Linked DNA regions of Bombyx mori. The main gene of each other region encodes a partner of the protein of the gene in region 3 in a complex. Links are inferred from orthologs where the notes say so. Each region holds a gene or a part of one and is shown on either strand. Other genes may lie near its edges.

Evidence for each region. The genes of interacting proteins can lie anywhere in the genome.
Region 1: the proteins of medium-chain specific acyl-CoA dehydrogenase, mitochondrial (region 3) and electron-transfer-flavoprotein beta polypeptide are in contact, whole or in part, in a crystal structure (PDB 2A1T), measured with the Homo sapiens proteins. The link is inferred for Bombyx mori from reciprocal best matches to the Homo sapiens genes ACADM and ETFB. Residues at the interface, in NP_000007.1 of Homo sapiens: Glu43, Gln44, Lys46, Glu47, Phe48, Thr51, Lys54, Phe55, Glu58, Glu59, Arg80, Glu83, Leu84, Gly85, Leu86, Leu98, Leu100, Ile108; in NP_001976.1 of Homo sapiens: Glu73, Arg76, Thr77, Tyr192, Ala193, Thr194, Leu195, Pro196, Ile198, Met199, Lys202.
Region 2: the proteins of medium-chain specific acyl-CoA dehydrogenase, mitochondrial (region 3) and electron transfer flavoprotein subunit alpha, mitochondrial are in contact, whole or in part, in a crystal structure (PDB 2A1T), measured with the Homo sapiens proteins. The link is inferred for Bombyx mori from reciprocal best matches to the Homo sapiens genes ACADM and ETFA. Residues at the interface, in NP_000007.1 of Homo sapiens: Pro163, Lys173, Pro211, Gln232, Arg235, Glu237, Val251, Glu253; in NP_000117.1 of Homo sapiens: Arg223, Lys226, Arg249, Asp253, Ala283, Ile284, Gln285, Glu304.

What each region holds. Positions count from the first base shown.
Region 1 is NC_085131.1:3,927,932-3,933,443, reverse strand, and holds electron-transfer-flavoprotein beta polypeptide, read right to left. Parts: upstream 3,414-5,512; 5' UTR 3,346-3,413; coding exon 3,295-3,345; intron 2,827-3,294; coding exon 2,668-2,826; intron 2,405-2,667; coding exon 2,246-2,404; intron 2,167-2,245; coding exon 2,086-2,166; intron 1,736-2,085; coding exon 1,595-1,735; intron 1,116-1,594; coding exon 945-1,115; 3' UTR 842-944; downstream 1-841. UniProt on the Homo sapiens protein: Heterodimeric electron transfer flavoprotein that accepts electrons from several mitochondrial dehydrogenases, including acyl-CoA dehydrogenases, glutaryl-CoA and sarcosine dehydrogenase.
Region 2 is NC_085111.1:13,689,076-13,694,236, reverse strand, and holds the start of electron transfer flavoprotein subunit alpha, mitochondrial, read right to left. Parts: upstream 3,414-5,161; 5' UTR 3,039-3,413; coding exon 2,997-3,038; intron 2,765-2,996; coding exon 2,624-2,764; intron 2,265-2,623; coding exon 2,000-2,264; intron 1,639-1,999; coding exon 1,423-1,638; intron 1,043-1,422; coding exon 891-1,042; intron 106-890; coding exon 1-105. UniProt on the Homo sapiens protein: Heterodimeric electron transfer flavoprotein that accepts electrons from several mitochondrial dehydrogenases, including acyl-CoA dehydrogenases, glutaryl-CoA and sarcosine dehydrogenase.
Region 3 is NC_085107.1:11,198,369-11,203,085, reverse strand, and holds part of medium-chain specific acyl-CoA dehydrogenase, mitochondrial, read right to left. Parts: intron 2,388-4,717; coding exon 2,220-2,387; intron 1,095-2,219; coding exon of another isoform or gene 994-1,094; intron 764-993; coding exon 660-763; intron 1-659. UniProt on the Homo sapiens protein: Medium-chain specific acyl-CoA dehydrogenase is one of the acyl-CoA dehydrogenases that catalyze the first step of mitochondrial fatty acid beta-oxidation, an aerobic process breaking down fatty acids into acetyl-CoA and allowing the production of energy from fats.

The DNA of each region.
Region 1 (5,512 bases), on a different chromosome or scaffold from region 3:
AAGTTTATTACCGAAAGTCGATTCGTGCCAAAGACACATTTTTACAGCACTTTGTACTTTAAAATATGTAGGCTTCCTCTTCCTCCTCCCCCAACCGAGACTTGTGAGTATAATTAAGCCTGATTACGAAAGTAAACGTCGAAGGATAAATAATTTATATAATAGGTAGGTATGTTTCTATTCTTTACCAATACATTTGATAACACCATCTAGTTATGATATTGGAAAAATTTAAATTAACTGGTAGTAGGACCACTTGTGAGTCCGCACGGGTAGGTTCCACCACCCTGCCTATTTCTGCCGTGAAGCAGTAATGCGAATCGGTTTGAAGGGTGGGGTAGCCGTTGTAATTATACATAGACCTTAGAACTTATCTCAAGGTTGGTGGCGCATTTATTTTGTAGATGTCTGTGGGCTCCAGCAACCACAACACCAGGTGGGGTGTGAGCTCGTCCACCCATCTAAGCAATAAATAAAAAATAAAAAAAATGATGGGTGGACGAGTTCACGGCCCACCAAGTGTAAAGTGGTTACCGAAGCCCTTCAATCTACAATGTTAATACCGCCATTCACCTTGAGATAAGAGATGTAAGGTCTCAGTATAATTACGACAGCTGCCTCAACCTTCAAACCGAAACGCATTACTGCTTCACGGCAGAAATAGCCAAGGCAGTGATACTTGTGCGGACTCACAAGAGGTCCTACCACCAGCAAATGATTTGTTTCGTTAGAAAAGCCTATTAATATATAATTAACCCAAATGTGAAATATTTAATTCTGAATTTCTTAACGATGAAATGGGAGTTTTTAATTAAAAGACAAAAAAGTAAACAATGTCAATAATTACATTAACAATATACATAAAACATGATTCTATAAACATTTAATATAAAAATGTTCCCTATGATTTTTCACTATTGATAAATTAAAAGTTCGATTTACGATTACACATGTCCGCCTTCCTTAAGCTTAGCAACGAGAGTGTCGACATCAGGTATGATGGAGCCAGCCTGTCGGACTGGAGGATCTTCCACAGAGACCACCTTGATACGAGGTGCCAGGTCCACCCCAAGGTCTTTGGCACTTACTTTTTTGAGAGGCTTCTTCTTTGCTTTCTAAAACAAATATAAATTACGGTAGATGAGGATCCTTCCCAACTAAAATAGAGACTGTATATATTCCATGTATTCAAAAAATTTATCATGAATCAATTACAATATTGATAACAACCATGTTACAATTAATAAATTAAATTTTTTATGTGATAAAAATGGTGTGCTGAGAACTAAATGAAAATATTATGATTTTTATTGAAAATATTATGATTTTTATTGAAAATATTATATTTGAAGTTGTTCAACTTATCAAGAATAGTTAGCAATCGTTGTATTGAAAGTTTAAATTGTATGAGGCATTAATCAACTTATCAAGAATAGTTCATCCTTTTCAATTCTCAATGGAAATCTATACATCCAAAACAACAACAATTTATCAGGCACAGCTTAATATGGAACTTGGGGTTCTTTATCTGCAGTGTATCAGTGTATGTTCTTCTAATTTCCATATTAGTATATAACTTTAGAGTTGTATTTACCATGATGTTAGGCAGTGTAGCATATCGTGGTTCATTCAGTCGCAGATCAGCACTCAGTACAGCTGGGATTTTTGTCTTGATAACCTCTAAACCTCCATCAATTTCACGGGTTATAGTTAGAGCACCATCAGTCTTTTCTATCTACAATAAAGATGAATTTGTTACTGTTTATTGTAATTGAAGGTTTGGCTAGGATAATTATGCATATGTCATTAAAATTGTCAATACATTGCTTACAGGCGGCCAATACAGCACACCGGTGGTACAGTTGAATGTATTTATGTTCACTTAAATTGAAGATGTTAGATAATTCGGTAATCCCAATATTGAACTTATGACTTCTTGCATTAAAGAAGAAAAGAGCATCATTTTAAACAAAATTGATGGGTTGTTTTTTTTAATCACTGAATAAAAACTTGTAATAATTGGTTATTATTGAAAACGAATTATAACTTAATTCATTAGTTCTATTTACAAATTATAAAAATTACCTTTGATGCAAATGTTCCTTGTGGCCAATCTAATAAAGCAGCAGTCATCTGTGCTGTCTGGTTGGAGTCATCATCTATGGCCTTAAAAATTAAAAAGAAAGTTTTAGGTATTTATGACACAATGACATAAAAAAATATATGCATTTTTAATTGTTGTTACCTGTTTGCCAACAATAACTAAGTCTGCCTTCTCATCTTGTGACAGTTTTGCTAAGATTTTTGCAACATGAATGGGCTGTAATGTGTCATATTCAGCCCCAGCCACTTCAACATGAATAGCTCGATCTGCACCCATCGCAAGAGCAGTTCTGAGAGTTTCCTTTATAATAAAATAAACAAGCTTTAGCCTCAAAAAGTATGTAAAAAAATTATAATGAGACTATAAACAATTCTTTTACTACTAATAGATGAAATTTATTCTTAAATTAATTTATTATTTTTATAAGAAATTGAAGTCATTAGTGTTAAAAAGACCGATTAGAATAAATTGTTCTTTTTAAATGAAATTTTATTTAAAATGAATTATAATTTTATTAGTTTAACATGAACATTTAACCAATCTGCATTTTTTTTAATGGATACCTGTGCTTGTGATGGTCCACAAGAGACTGCAATGACTTCGCTTGCTAACTTTTTTTCTTTCATTCGAACAGCCTCCTCTACTGCTATCTCATCAAAAGGATTCATTGAGTGCTTCACCCCATCTGTGACTACACCAGACTTGTCTGGCTTCACACGAATCTGAATATAAAATTCATATTAATCCTCTTTGTGATACTAAATTTCATATTACATTGCACACACTTGCCAAAAAACTTATTAATTAATTATACTAACTTTAGTAAGTAATCAACTTTACTATTGAATTAAAAAAAGTCTATTAGGATCTAACTAAGTGCGTCATTTTAAATTTTAGTATAGTATAGTTCGGAGTTAAAGGATTTTATCAGTAATGTAATCTTAATTTAAGTGGTCGAAAAGATTGCCAAGTGGCAAAGGGTCATTAATCAAGGCTATTATGAAAGATTATAGATAAGAATAGCTTAGAAACGCAAAGGTACTATATTCCAAATACAATTGGACAGTTACAGTCTTTATTGGTTATATATGTATGTATATACACGTATTCAAAATTATTAACTATTTATTATTCTTTTATTAATAAAAACGGTGCATAAAAAATAACCTTTGCACTTTCATATAACTTACTTTTACAGCATAGTCGATAACTCTCTTAACGCCAACAAGAACACGAGACATTTTTCTTTTAATTAGTATCTAAAAGGCGTAATAATTAAAGGACTAAATATTAACGAAAACAAACTAACAGGTAGGTACGAAGTCCAAATTTAAAATATCCACAGATTACTAACAAAGAGAGCAAAACTTTAAAACGTTATTAACATATATAATAATCTGTGGAACTTCGCTGGGTCACAGTGTGTCCACTTTTAGAGAATTCTCCTTTTTTTAGGGAAAAACAGTTGATATTTTGGATGGTTAAAGACAATTTGAATAATACAAGGATTTAGGGAATTTCGGGGTAAAACGCAAAGCCTATACTAGTAACCTTGTAGTAAAGTAAATCATAGACTAAACCACTGCTTTTTTCTTAGGAATTCCCCAGAATCCTAATAAGTGTAATCCGCCAAAATTTTATTTACCTATGTCACCAGAACCTACTCGTATTGTAATATATAGGTACTTCATGAACCATGAAAGATTATCGTGGTAATTTCATTTACGAAAACCTTGAAGTTGCCGTTTCACTTTTACTAGCAGTTCCTTCTTCAAAGACTGAAGTGGAAAGATTATTCAGTGTTCTTAAAAATGTAAAAACTGACAAAAGAAACAGGATTTTAATGACACCCCGAAAGGCTTGCTTCATACAAAGCTTAAAATGCTAGCAAACAATTGCTCAATCTTAGAACCGAACAGCGTTATGTTGCGTGCAGCAAAATAATATAAAAGCAATGCGTCGACTTCCCAAAAATTCTAATCCTATAGATCTATGATCTTCTGTGGGCGTTTTGTTATTATATATACCTACATTAAATAATATGCTATGGTTTATTTTCTGTATTTTATTTATGCTTCCTAAACTTCGATCATCAATAGTAACTAGATAAAGGGACACGTACAAAATTAAAGCAAAAGCTGTCCGCGTGAATATACACCTATAGCTACATTCGTTTACTAACAAACGGAGAAAAAAGTTTTGAAACAGTTTTAAGTTCAAACTAATTACAACTATGGTACTTTGTAATAAAGCCACAAATCTCCAAAACATTATCTAATACTTACGATCATTCGTCACATAAAATGAGCAAAGTAATAAATTAATCCTGTCACTTACAAATAAAAAAACATATGTTAAACAATTTTTAATGTTAAATCAACCTTAAGTGACAACAAATAAAGTACTTTTTCCCTTTATTGCTCTGAGAACAAACATCGTTTTGTTTTATTTATTTTTGCTTCTTGAAATTTCGATTTCTGTTTACTACAGGAGGTAAGGGAGTCGCGTTGAACACTAAAATAATTTATTAATGAATAAAAGCAAAAGTTTAGTTGTTTACTTTTTATGTTTTGGAAATTTATGTTTGTTAGTATCTATACATTATTTATTATTTTATTAGCGTTGCGTTTTTGTGTAATATATATTTTTATAGTATATTTTTAAGTTTTCGCGACCAGTGCACATAATAAAACAACGTTTAAACGGTTTCAAGCGCGGTATTTTTATTACAATGTTTCGGCCACGTTTCAGTAGCCGTGAGCACGGAAGACAAAGATGTCCAGTGTCAATGAGCGGAGATCTTAGCTGGCTTATAAAAGTCATCTCTTGTTTCTCTGGCGACAATCGAGATCCATTCTGCACACGTGATTGCTAGGAAAGCTAAAATAAAAAAGGAAAGCTAAGTATCTAATGAGAGTCCAAAAAACAGACACAAAAGCAGCATTAACCAATTTTAACCAACTAATTTTGAAGTACATCTAACAAATTTTAAAAAATTATTAAAACACAAATCTACTCCGTGCGTTTACTGTTCTGTTAAACAAACGTTTGTCCATGTGTTGGCCGAGCCTTGACAACATTTGTAGCGGTGGCTAAAAATCGGTAATTTTGTTCAAAATTTAATATTATTTATTAGTTTAAAGCTTCGATCAACAATAGTAACTAGATTTCGGGTCGGTGCATAAAATCCGTCTCGTCAAATAACAGCGCACTTGAAATGTGAGCTCTTATTTTGTTTAGTTCACTTCAAACACAGCCAATGTCAACCCGTCTCACAATACCGCAGTGTGTATTCAAAAGTTGCAAAAATAAGGCCCGAAAAAGCAATTTAACGGCCGGAATATCTTACATTCGGTAAGTACATGAAGTATAAACTATATTGTAAGCTTTAAACTTATAAATAATATT
Region 2 (5,161 bases), on a different chromosome or scaffold from region 3:
AATCGGAGCTTCAGGATCTTTGTTGATTGCTACAATGGTTTTGGAGTCTTTCATGCCGGCCAAGTGCTGAATAGCACCACTGATGCCTACAGCGATGTACAAGTCCTGGAGCAGGCGTCAAAAATACACATTAATAATACACTAAAATAATTATATATATAAATAGCAATATAATACTTTTTTTTTTTAGAAAAGTATATAATCAAAACACAATTTTTTTTGGTAGGACAATAATTAAATAACATTACTTTGCTATTACCAAATAATTAATTCAATTATAATACAATATATTCAAATTCTTAAGCAGTTACATGAAATGAAGAAAGAGCAAATAATGCTCATTCATTTGTGAAAGTTTTACACACTAATCTGTCTTACAGTGTGTATTTACTACTAATATTACTATGTGTTGTATATGTTATTTAGAACAACAAAGTCTGTTGTAAATATTGCAAGATATATTTATTTCAGATTACTTTTAGATGAACGGCATCAACACACATAATGAAAGAGTATGTTGTATATACTGGAACCGCTCAAGGACAGCATTAAAGTGAACAGTTCGTTTTATTGTAAAACGACAATCTAAAACTAAATTCACAAAAGCTTTATATGACATATACATCTATGACATTTTACGACCATAAATCTACCACCTCAATTGATTTTTGTATGAAATTTGTTATATTATGAGCAAAAGAAGTTTCTTTCCAGTCGAAAAAGAAATACATTTTTTAAATAATTTGTATGCTTTTGTGTTAGGAATCATAAAGGAGTTCTATACACCCTGTATCTGTGACATTCTGATAGAGTTGTGTATTCAATGTCAAATCTAAAGTGTATGAGATTCAAAGAAAGCACACCTAATTAAATATAAATTTAATACTAACAGGAGCAACAATCTTGCCAGTCTGTCCAATCTGTAGGTCGTTGGGTACAAAGCCAGCATCGACAGCTGCACGAGAGGCACCCACGGCCGCATTCAACTTATCAGCTAGATCATACAACAACTTGAAGTTGTCACCAGACTTCAAGCCTCGTCCTGTCAAATAACAACATTACACTTTGAATAATTCTGATGTGTAATTTGAATATAATTTTGAAAAGTATCTTTTTATTATGTAGATGTGTGAGCACTCTTACAGGTCATCCACATAACAGAAATAGGCAGCATATTGGTATCTATCTATGAGGGTTTACAGTACAATAATAATGCAGTAAGATAATTGCAGTATTTTAGCAGAACCAGTAGAACCATTCGTTGCTTTTAAGACCTATAAGATAACGAGAGTTTAAATAGTGGAATTTTAGTCCTATGAATTCTACATTACATTAATTTTAAAGTTTCTATTAAATTAGACCAAGCAATTAAATTAAGCATTGATTATTTATTATTATTATTTTTTAACTATAATATCTTACCACCAGATACAATATTCTTAGCACTAGTGAGTTCTGGTCTGTCAGATTTGGTCAATTCCTGCTTTAAAAATTCAACCAGATCAGTCTTATAGTCGCCCTCAGGTGCTTTATCAATTGCTGCAGACCCTCCCTCCAATGGCTCTGCAGGGAATGCTGTGCCACGAACAGTGATGACCTTGATAGGATCTTTGGCCTCAAGGGTTAATATAGCGTTACCTAAAAATATCAATCAATTAATCATTAATTAACATTAATTTCAGTTGAACTAACAGACTGTTTTTATTACCTTCATAGGGCAATGAGCTTATGGCCCATGTGACATTTGAGTGACATTGCTGGCATTACATAAGGACGTTTGCCATTGCCCACCATAGAGAACACTCCCGAAGGCACATTTGAAAAATGAAATGTTTTAGAGCTCAAGGAATACCATGGAGGGAAGTTTGTTGAGGTTGATAAATTGTATAAAAGAGCTCTGGAAATACACTGAGCATAGAGCCAGAGGCTTTACAAAGATGTATGAATAATGAATGTAAAAATGATATATACAAAATGTACATGATCAATAGGACCTCACCAGCATAAATTGTTCTCACAAAGGTATTAGCATCCTTGATACCAATGATATCAGTTATTGGTGACACATCAAGCTTGGCCGCAACTCGTGGCAGCACCGTCTTTCCGAAAGCAGTTGCTGGTGCTAAGATATGAGTGAATTTGAACTGTTTTTGTGTAGCCAAAATCAGAGGAGTCAGGGTTTCAGCAGTAAAACCTTTAAAGACATCACTCTCAGCCACTAAAACTTTAGATATACCATTTGCCTTAGCAATGGATTCTGCAGCCTGAAAGAAGTCAAATTTAAAAGTTTTTTATTAGGAAAATGATAATAGTACAATTATAGGTAAGCTCTGCAATTAGTACTGACTGCACTGTCCCATGACATTACATTGTACTTAATATTTGATATTCTAGCAATTTTTAATATTTAAGTAACTCTACTTTAAATATGACATCCTTCACATACAATAGCTAATTACAGAACCATGGCATTCTATTACAGGATTCTGATTAAAATTGACTTGATATATATTCATATAACGAGATTACATAAGATGCCAATACTTATTATTAATTGGTTCCAAGACTAAAACCCGAAACTGTACTTATTGTTTGTTAAATTAGCTTCAAAATAAAAACATACAGGTCCACATTTGGTTCCAGCCACAAGCACTGAGACATCACCTCCAATTTTCTTGGCAGCATTCAATGTATTTTGGGTTGCTGGAGATAGTACCTCATTGTTGTGCTCGGCGAGCACTAAAGTACTTTGCAAACGACGCAGCTGAAATTAGAGTCGCTATTACAATTCAGTAATATATTAGGAAAATATATTTAAAAATGGGTCTAAATTACTTATGCACCTATTTATTTCTAAAATCCAATTGAACAATAATTATCATAACTCACATCGTGACCTCGACCCTTGAAATTAACATATAAGTTTTAAGACTAATCTCATCTAGAGGTTAATAATCTAAGTTTTAGGATCTCAATATAATAATAAAGTTTCCAACCTGTCCAGACAAAAATAAATGCCTGCTATTGGGTGCAAACATTTTGATAAGCAAGATTTTGTTCAGGAAATCTGTTTTTATTTATTAAATAATTTATTAAACTTAAATCTAGGTTACAAAGTCCAATGTTCAAAAATGACAAGAGGTTTTTATTTGATTCGTGGCTAAGACAAGCAAAGGGAACGAAGTGCATGCCATTTTGTAGGAAAAATAGAAGTCATGTTTATTAAATAAAATGTAACATTTAACGATTGTGCTGGTTGAGTTGATTAAATAATGAAATCAAATTGAATTATAATAGGTAAGATAATATAACAGCTGTGGGATGACATGAAATATATTAAACTCTCTTTAAAGCAGTAGAAATTTATTGAGATTTTATAGAACATGTTGACGTCCGCGTGGCGTTAAAGGCTTATTACACTTGGCTAAATTTACGACTGAATTCAGAAGCAAGTTAGAAACTTCTGATTACACTATTCTTAATTCAGTTACTGAATCAATTGCCAGCTTAAGCGCGACGAAGTTGGACGTGTCGTGTGTATAAGAGGATGGCCCTAGTATTGTCTAGACAACAAAAAATTGGTCTTGGCGTAGTCCTCGCTTTTCTAAATGCGTTTCTAATTAGGCTTCTTAATAATTTAGTCAGTCAGAAACCATCCTTGCTACTGAATTTAGTAGGCTAGCTTACTGAATGCTGTTACACTTCACTGAATTCAGTACCGACTAAATTCAGTCGACTAAATTTAGCCAAGTGTAATAAGCCTTTTATCCGAAAATTTAAAAAGTTACTTGAATCCGAGTTGTACTCGTGTTTTGCCGCGAGAGGTGAATGTGGCTCACTGAAGGTAAATGCAGTACACTATAACTCCTTACACAGATTTAACTCCTTACACAGATTTAACTAATTCGAAATTATGCAGACTAAAAAAATCTAATTTTGCTGAGTAGCACTATTTATTAGATAAAGCGTTGTCGTGAATCGTGATTTTAACTGTAGTCTAGTTCAGTTTCCATTGCGTGGATAACAGATATTAATAAAAACGCTTTTGATTTCACAATAAAGTTATTGATAAATTTCATAGACATATACCGTAAAATGGGGCGACTAGGGACAAATTCCAACTTTATGAGCAATTTTAAGATAGTTGTTGATGTATATAATGCTATATCAGGATCAAAATGATTGAGTCTTGGGGGCATCTTTGTTGTCTAATTTAAAATTATGCAACTAGCATTCCAGTTTAAGCAAAAAATGCAAAAATAGCTGTAATCCCTATTTACCCGAAAATTGCGGTTAATTGGGACGAAATGAGAAATTTGCTAGGGTTGGCACTACTTTCATTTTTATATATAGTTTTAATTAATTTATTTATTTAGTTGCACCAACAAAGTGATCATCAATAAAAAAAATTTAAAAACTGACAAAAGTACATGGCAGACATCACCTCAATTATAGGTGCAATCGATAGTGCTGATATTTCTATCTGGGTTAAGAGATTAGGTGTGTCGGTTATTCCATGGATTAATCAGATGAATACCCCCACTCTGAACAAATATTAAATATTTATTTTTCAAATATTAAATATATTACTTAGACATTTTTGTCCACCTTGAGATTTCATTGATCTTGTTACATGTCTCTGCAAAATCGACTTACTTATATTAAATTGCTTATCTATTTCAACTAAAGACTTATTCCCTATTTCGCTTCGAATAAACCAGATTTTTACCAACAAATTTAAAAAATATTGTTATAACTACATAGACAACCCTACAAACCTGTACCTATTTGTACTTAGGTCGTTTCCATTTCACGTATTCTCATCCCAATTGACCCCTTTGTCGTTGTTATTTGTACCTAAGACGTCCCCAATATCCCCAAAAACAACAGATTTTTACATATATTTTTATTTAATCAAATACATTAAAACCAATAACAACTGAGACTTACCTTTAATATATATGCTGGTTCAAACACTAAATAACGTTTATAAATCATAGTCGTCTTCTATTATTATCAAATAAATAAAAGAGAGCAAAGTTTCTAGCACTAAAATAATTACCACCACAGAAAGTTAATTTTGAAACGCGATTTTTTATAAGTTAGCAGCTATTATCATGCATATTCAGAGTTGTTTTGTGAACTTTCAACATTCTACTAT
Region 3 (4,717 bases):
TTAAAGTTGAAATACCTGAAAACAAAATTTATTTCAACGAATCTAGCTGTAGTAGAATCTAGCTAGTAGCTGTAGGATTGAAATGATTTTAATAGACCTAGAAATATATTTTTTTTGCGCATCGAATATGGTTATTGCCTATCATTTATGTACAAAGCAGTTATTGTCGCTTAGTGACGTTTGCCTTTCAAGCGTCGATATGTAGCATGTTCCAGTGTGTCAAATGCTCTGAATTTGTATCTATTAGCGAATAAAAGTCCATAAAACATCGGTAACGCGAAGCCGCTGGTAAAAGCTACTAAAATATTGTAGTTTAAAATCGCATTAGTTATTTGCATTATTTTTTAAGTATTTGTATCGGAGTGTGCATTTGCTAGTTTTTAGAAAACTCATTCTACATCAATACGTTAAATAGACATGCACATAACATATACAGAAACATCACAGCAGTATAATTATGACATTTAATAGCAATTACCATTACCAATACTACTTACAAATATTTAAGGTTTTTAATATTATTTTGTGCATAATAAAACTATAAATAGCATAGCTTACATTAGGTACATGATGATTACGCGTGAAATAATAAAAATATATTTAAAAACCCCCCAACATTTTTATAACAGTTTTTTTAGGCGTTCTATTGTATGACTCACTCCTAAGGACGTGCCCCCAATAGCTGTCGTGATGCCAGTACATCCAAACGCAAGTTCGTCCGCTACGATGCACTCTTCGAAGACGCCAAAATTCCCTATGCCCCCTGAAAACCTCCAGTATTTATATTCAAATACATTTTATTTATGCCTCAGTCATTTAAAACTTTGTTAAATGTATGGATGAGAATACCCCGCACCATAGAAATCCCAGTATAATAACGTTAACCTCCAAACCCCTGTTTTTTTTTTAACTTGACTACAGTAAGAACAATATCATGCTCGACACACGTTTTTCGGATTAGTGAAACACAATTAGTATGTGCGGCGTGCTCACACCAACTTCGGTGATGTACACCGCTGCCATGATACCAGAGCATCCGTAGGCCAGCTCCTCGCTCAAAATACAGGCCTCGAACACTCCTAAACCTAGACCTCCTGTGGAATCGATTTTAGGGACCACAATATAACATATTTAAAATTATAACATTTTGACAGATTCCGGCCTAATGGGTCGGGCCAATTGGCGGACTCGTGATGCACGGTTGATACAAAAAAATTAACCCTAGAACGTTAAATTTATAAATTCTCCTAATTACGTGTGGTACGATAATTCTGCCTATTTGTCGCGATACAAACGTTCTAGATTTTTATAGCAAAATTCACCTATAGTGATAACTTATAGGCTCCGTTTGCCATTTTCATCTAAAATACTATATTTATTTAATATTTAAAAAAGCTTTGATCACTTCGCGTGCTGCCTAAAAAGTGTTTTTAATTTTGCCACTCTATTCATTTTCAAATTATCGGGTAAGTAAAAACCAGTGCGTCTCTAATAAACAGCAAATCATAAGTAATTTCTAAATTATACCACATTACGGTCGCACGTAATACGAATATATTATAAGTAGATAAAACCTTTTGACATGATTTCTTCAGATTCTGTTCTCCACTGCATGGATCGCCTTATTTTTATGAATTAGTACTACGTGGATAGCCTGTTTTTATTTAGACGGTAACGATCCGTCATTCCCATCAAAACTCCATTTCACAAAGAGTAGAATGTTATCAAGCCGATAGAGTATTTAAAAAAATACATTTGGCTCCCATATCTGCTTCGTGTAAAACATACTATCATAGCAATATGGTTCTCTTTTTCACTCCACTACATTTAAATAGTATTAAAAATTTGTTTTGGCAAATATTATCGCGAAAATGCGGATACAAAGCATTCCCAATTCAAAGCTTTTTTTTCTTATAGTATTTATGATCAGATCAAATAAGCTCCGTGACACCTTAGGCGAGTTTTGTTAAAGTAAATTAAATAGTAACTTTTATTAAACAAAATAACCCGCTCGGTTCTAACAGTCTTAACTTAGCTTCAAGAATTTATAATTTCTACCTTAGATTAATATCTAAGACAGAAAAGTTCCTTGTTATACTTAAAAAAAAAAATTTTCTTCCTTTTCGGAATTATGCAGCTTTGATGGTGCATACCTACTATGCCGGAAATATGTAACAGAATCGGATAAATATTTGTTTAAAGATAACAGATAACTTTACCGCAATGTTCTGGAATGTGTCCGTTCATTAGGCCAACTTCCCAAGCCTTCTTTACAACGGGCCACGGGTACTCCCCCGTCTTATCATATTGACCCGCCACAGGAATGATTTCATCCTTCGTGAATTTACGCGCTAGTTCCTGAAGCGCTTTCTGCTCATCGGTTAATTCTGTAATTGAAACATAATGTTTGTAAATAATTTGTGTTCCTAATTCTTCATTCCTTTTGCGGGCCTACTGGAAGAGATTTCAACATGAAATAAGTAGTGTCCTTGTACTCTGTATCCTTATTGTCGTGTTTCTTCTAACAGCTGTGTGTACAAAATATATTAAATAAATAAATAAAGAAATAATTAAATATGAACAGGATGGTTTATTATGATTCAACTCCCATATTTCCATCACATAACACCAATACATGTGGTAGCTTGGGAGATTGAAGCTATTGTAAAAAAAACATAGCATGTATTGAGGACCGGTACTGGTCGTACTACTACAGCCATATTTTTTGCAAAGTTAAGATGTCTTATGCAGGTATACTGCGTAGCTGGTAGTGCTTTGTTTTACTTTTAGAGTCTACCGTTAAAATGTGGAAAGCACATTCGTGTTTTTAGTTTCTAAGAGTTACAGCAAATCTTTAAAAACAATCAATATATAGAAAATGTAATAGTACTAACGATTAAAATTCCAGGAAGTAGTATTATCGGTTCATTTTTAACTATTATTTGACTGAAGTTAAACGTAGACTCGAAGATCCTTAGCGACAATCTGATAAGTGGCTCCCAGTATTTGATTTCAAAAAACTATAAAGTTCTCAGTATTTTATTTGTCACATAAATACTAAGAGTTACTAACGTAATACTACGCCGAGGTGGCAAAAAGGCACAGCATTATTATTAGCATTATCATGACATCGCTTCGCCACTGGGTAAATGGACAATCGCAAATAGCAAGTATTTGTTGCCAAATTTCGCTACGACAAGTTGTCATCCCTGATAATGCGTAAGCCTTAGCCTCAACTAACCCTTTTTTTCGGTCAGTAGGCCGAACTTCATATGAGGTATCCGCGCCTAGGGGACATGCGTAGTATGTGGGACTTGACGCTCTGCAGATGATGTGAGCAGATTGCATGCCCAAGGATGTTTTTAGTGCCCTACCTACCAAACAACTCCCATTGCACTCTTTCACCCGATGTCCGATCACTCCAACCAGACTCGCGTCGCCACCGCTATTTCTCCCAAGTGAGGCTTTCGTCGACGACCAATGACGGCCGTTTTCGCGATACGGCAGCTAGTCATGCCGCCCGGGCGGTGTCGTTAGTGATCCGCGATACCTTGCTGGCTTAAAACCAGCATGCCGGGACAAAATGCGATATGCCACCAACCAGGTTGCTCTTTCTTAATACGTCCGACAATAACAGCGACGATGGCATCGCGGATTGCAGCCACCGATTGTCATCCCATCCTTCTGGTGCTAGCGCGTAAGAGTGACAACAGCGTGCGGCGCAGCCTCGATCCCTTCAGGTTGCCTCGTTACCAGCATCGGGAAGAGACTGCCTCCTCAAAGGAGCCGGAGCTAAACGAACGCCTCGACCGCGGCCCGGCGATATTGGAGACCCGCGTTAGGATCGACTCGGCCTGGGCTGAGTGGTCGCATCACGCATAATGCTTAGGGAGGAGTTCAGGCGAGCACGCCCGCCTCCTGGAACGAGACGGTGCGGTACACGCGCACTGCTCTAACATCGATCGCAAGCTTCGGACGTCGCAGCGTTGCGACGTTGTCACGGGTCAGGTTGTGCCACACAGGAGCTCCATAAAGTGCTATTACCAGTGCACCAACCCTGTGGAAACGCGGCGCTATCGCGTTAGGACCCCCGTCGTCCGGCAACAGAAGACTCAGGGAGACGGCGGTCGGGTCTACGATTTCCGAGCGCCACTTTCAGGCCAAGGATCCTGCCGACGACTAAGGCCATCCCTGCGCAGGAAAGGCGGCAACTGGCAGATTCGGTAAAGTCCTTCCCCCTGGCCGCAACCTAAGTGTCGTCCGCGTAGCAAGCTACGCTGAGGCCCCGGAGAGTAATGCCCAGGACATCCCGTAGGACCCAATCGTAGGCGATGTTTCACAAGAAAGGACGGAGAACCGATCGTGAGTAATACCGTGCTCGACGGGGAAGCTGAACACCGTCTCACCTGATGCCCGGTTCAAATGACTGACCTAGCTGTCAACTAGCCCACGCCTAAATGTAAATTCATATTTCGCATGCACACGAACTCGTAATGGCCTAAAGTAGTGGAGTGCAAACTAAGAGGCAAGAAAAAAATATAGACATATGTATTAACATTTAAAAAAACAATTTCCAACCACGTTAAAATTTAAAGGATTTTTTTCTCCGATAAAATTTAATTTTTTCTTCATAATTCAAATGATATTGGTTGGATTTGTGATCCATTTTCCTATGATATGTGCAGTTTAACTATTAGGCTATTATTAGCTTTGATTC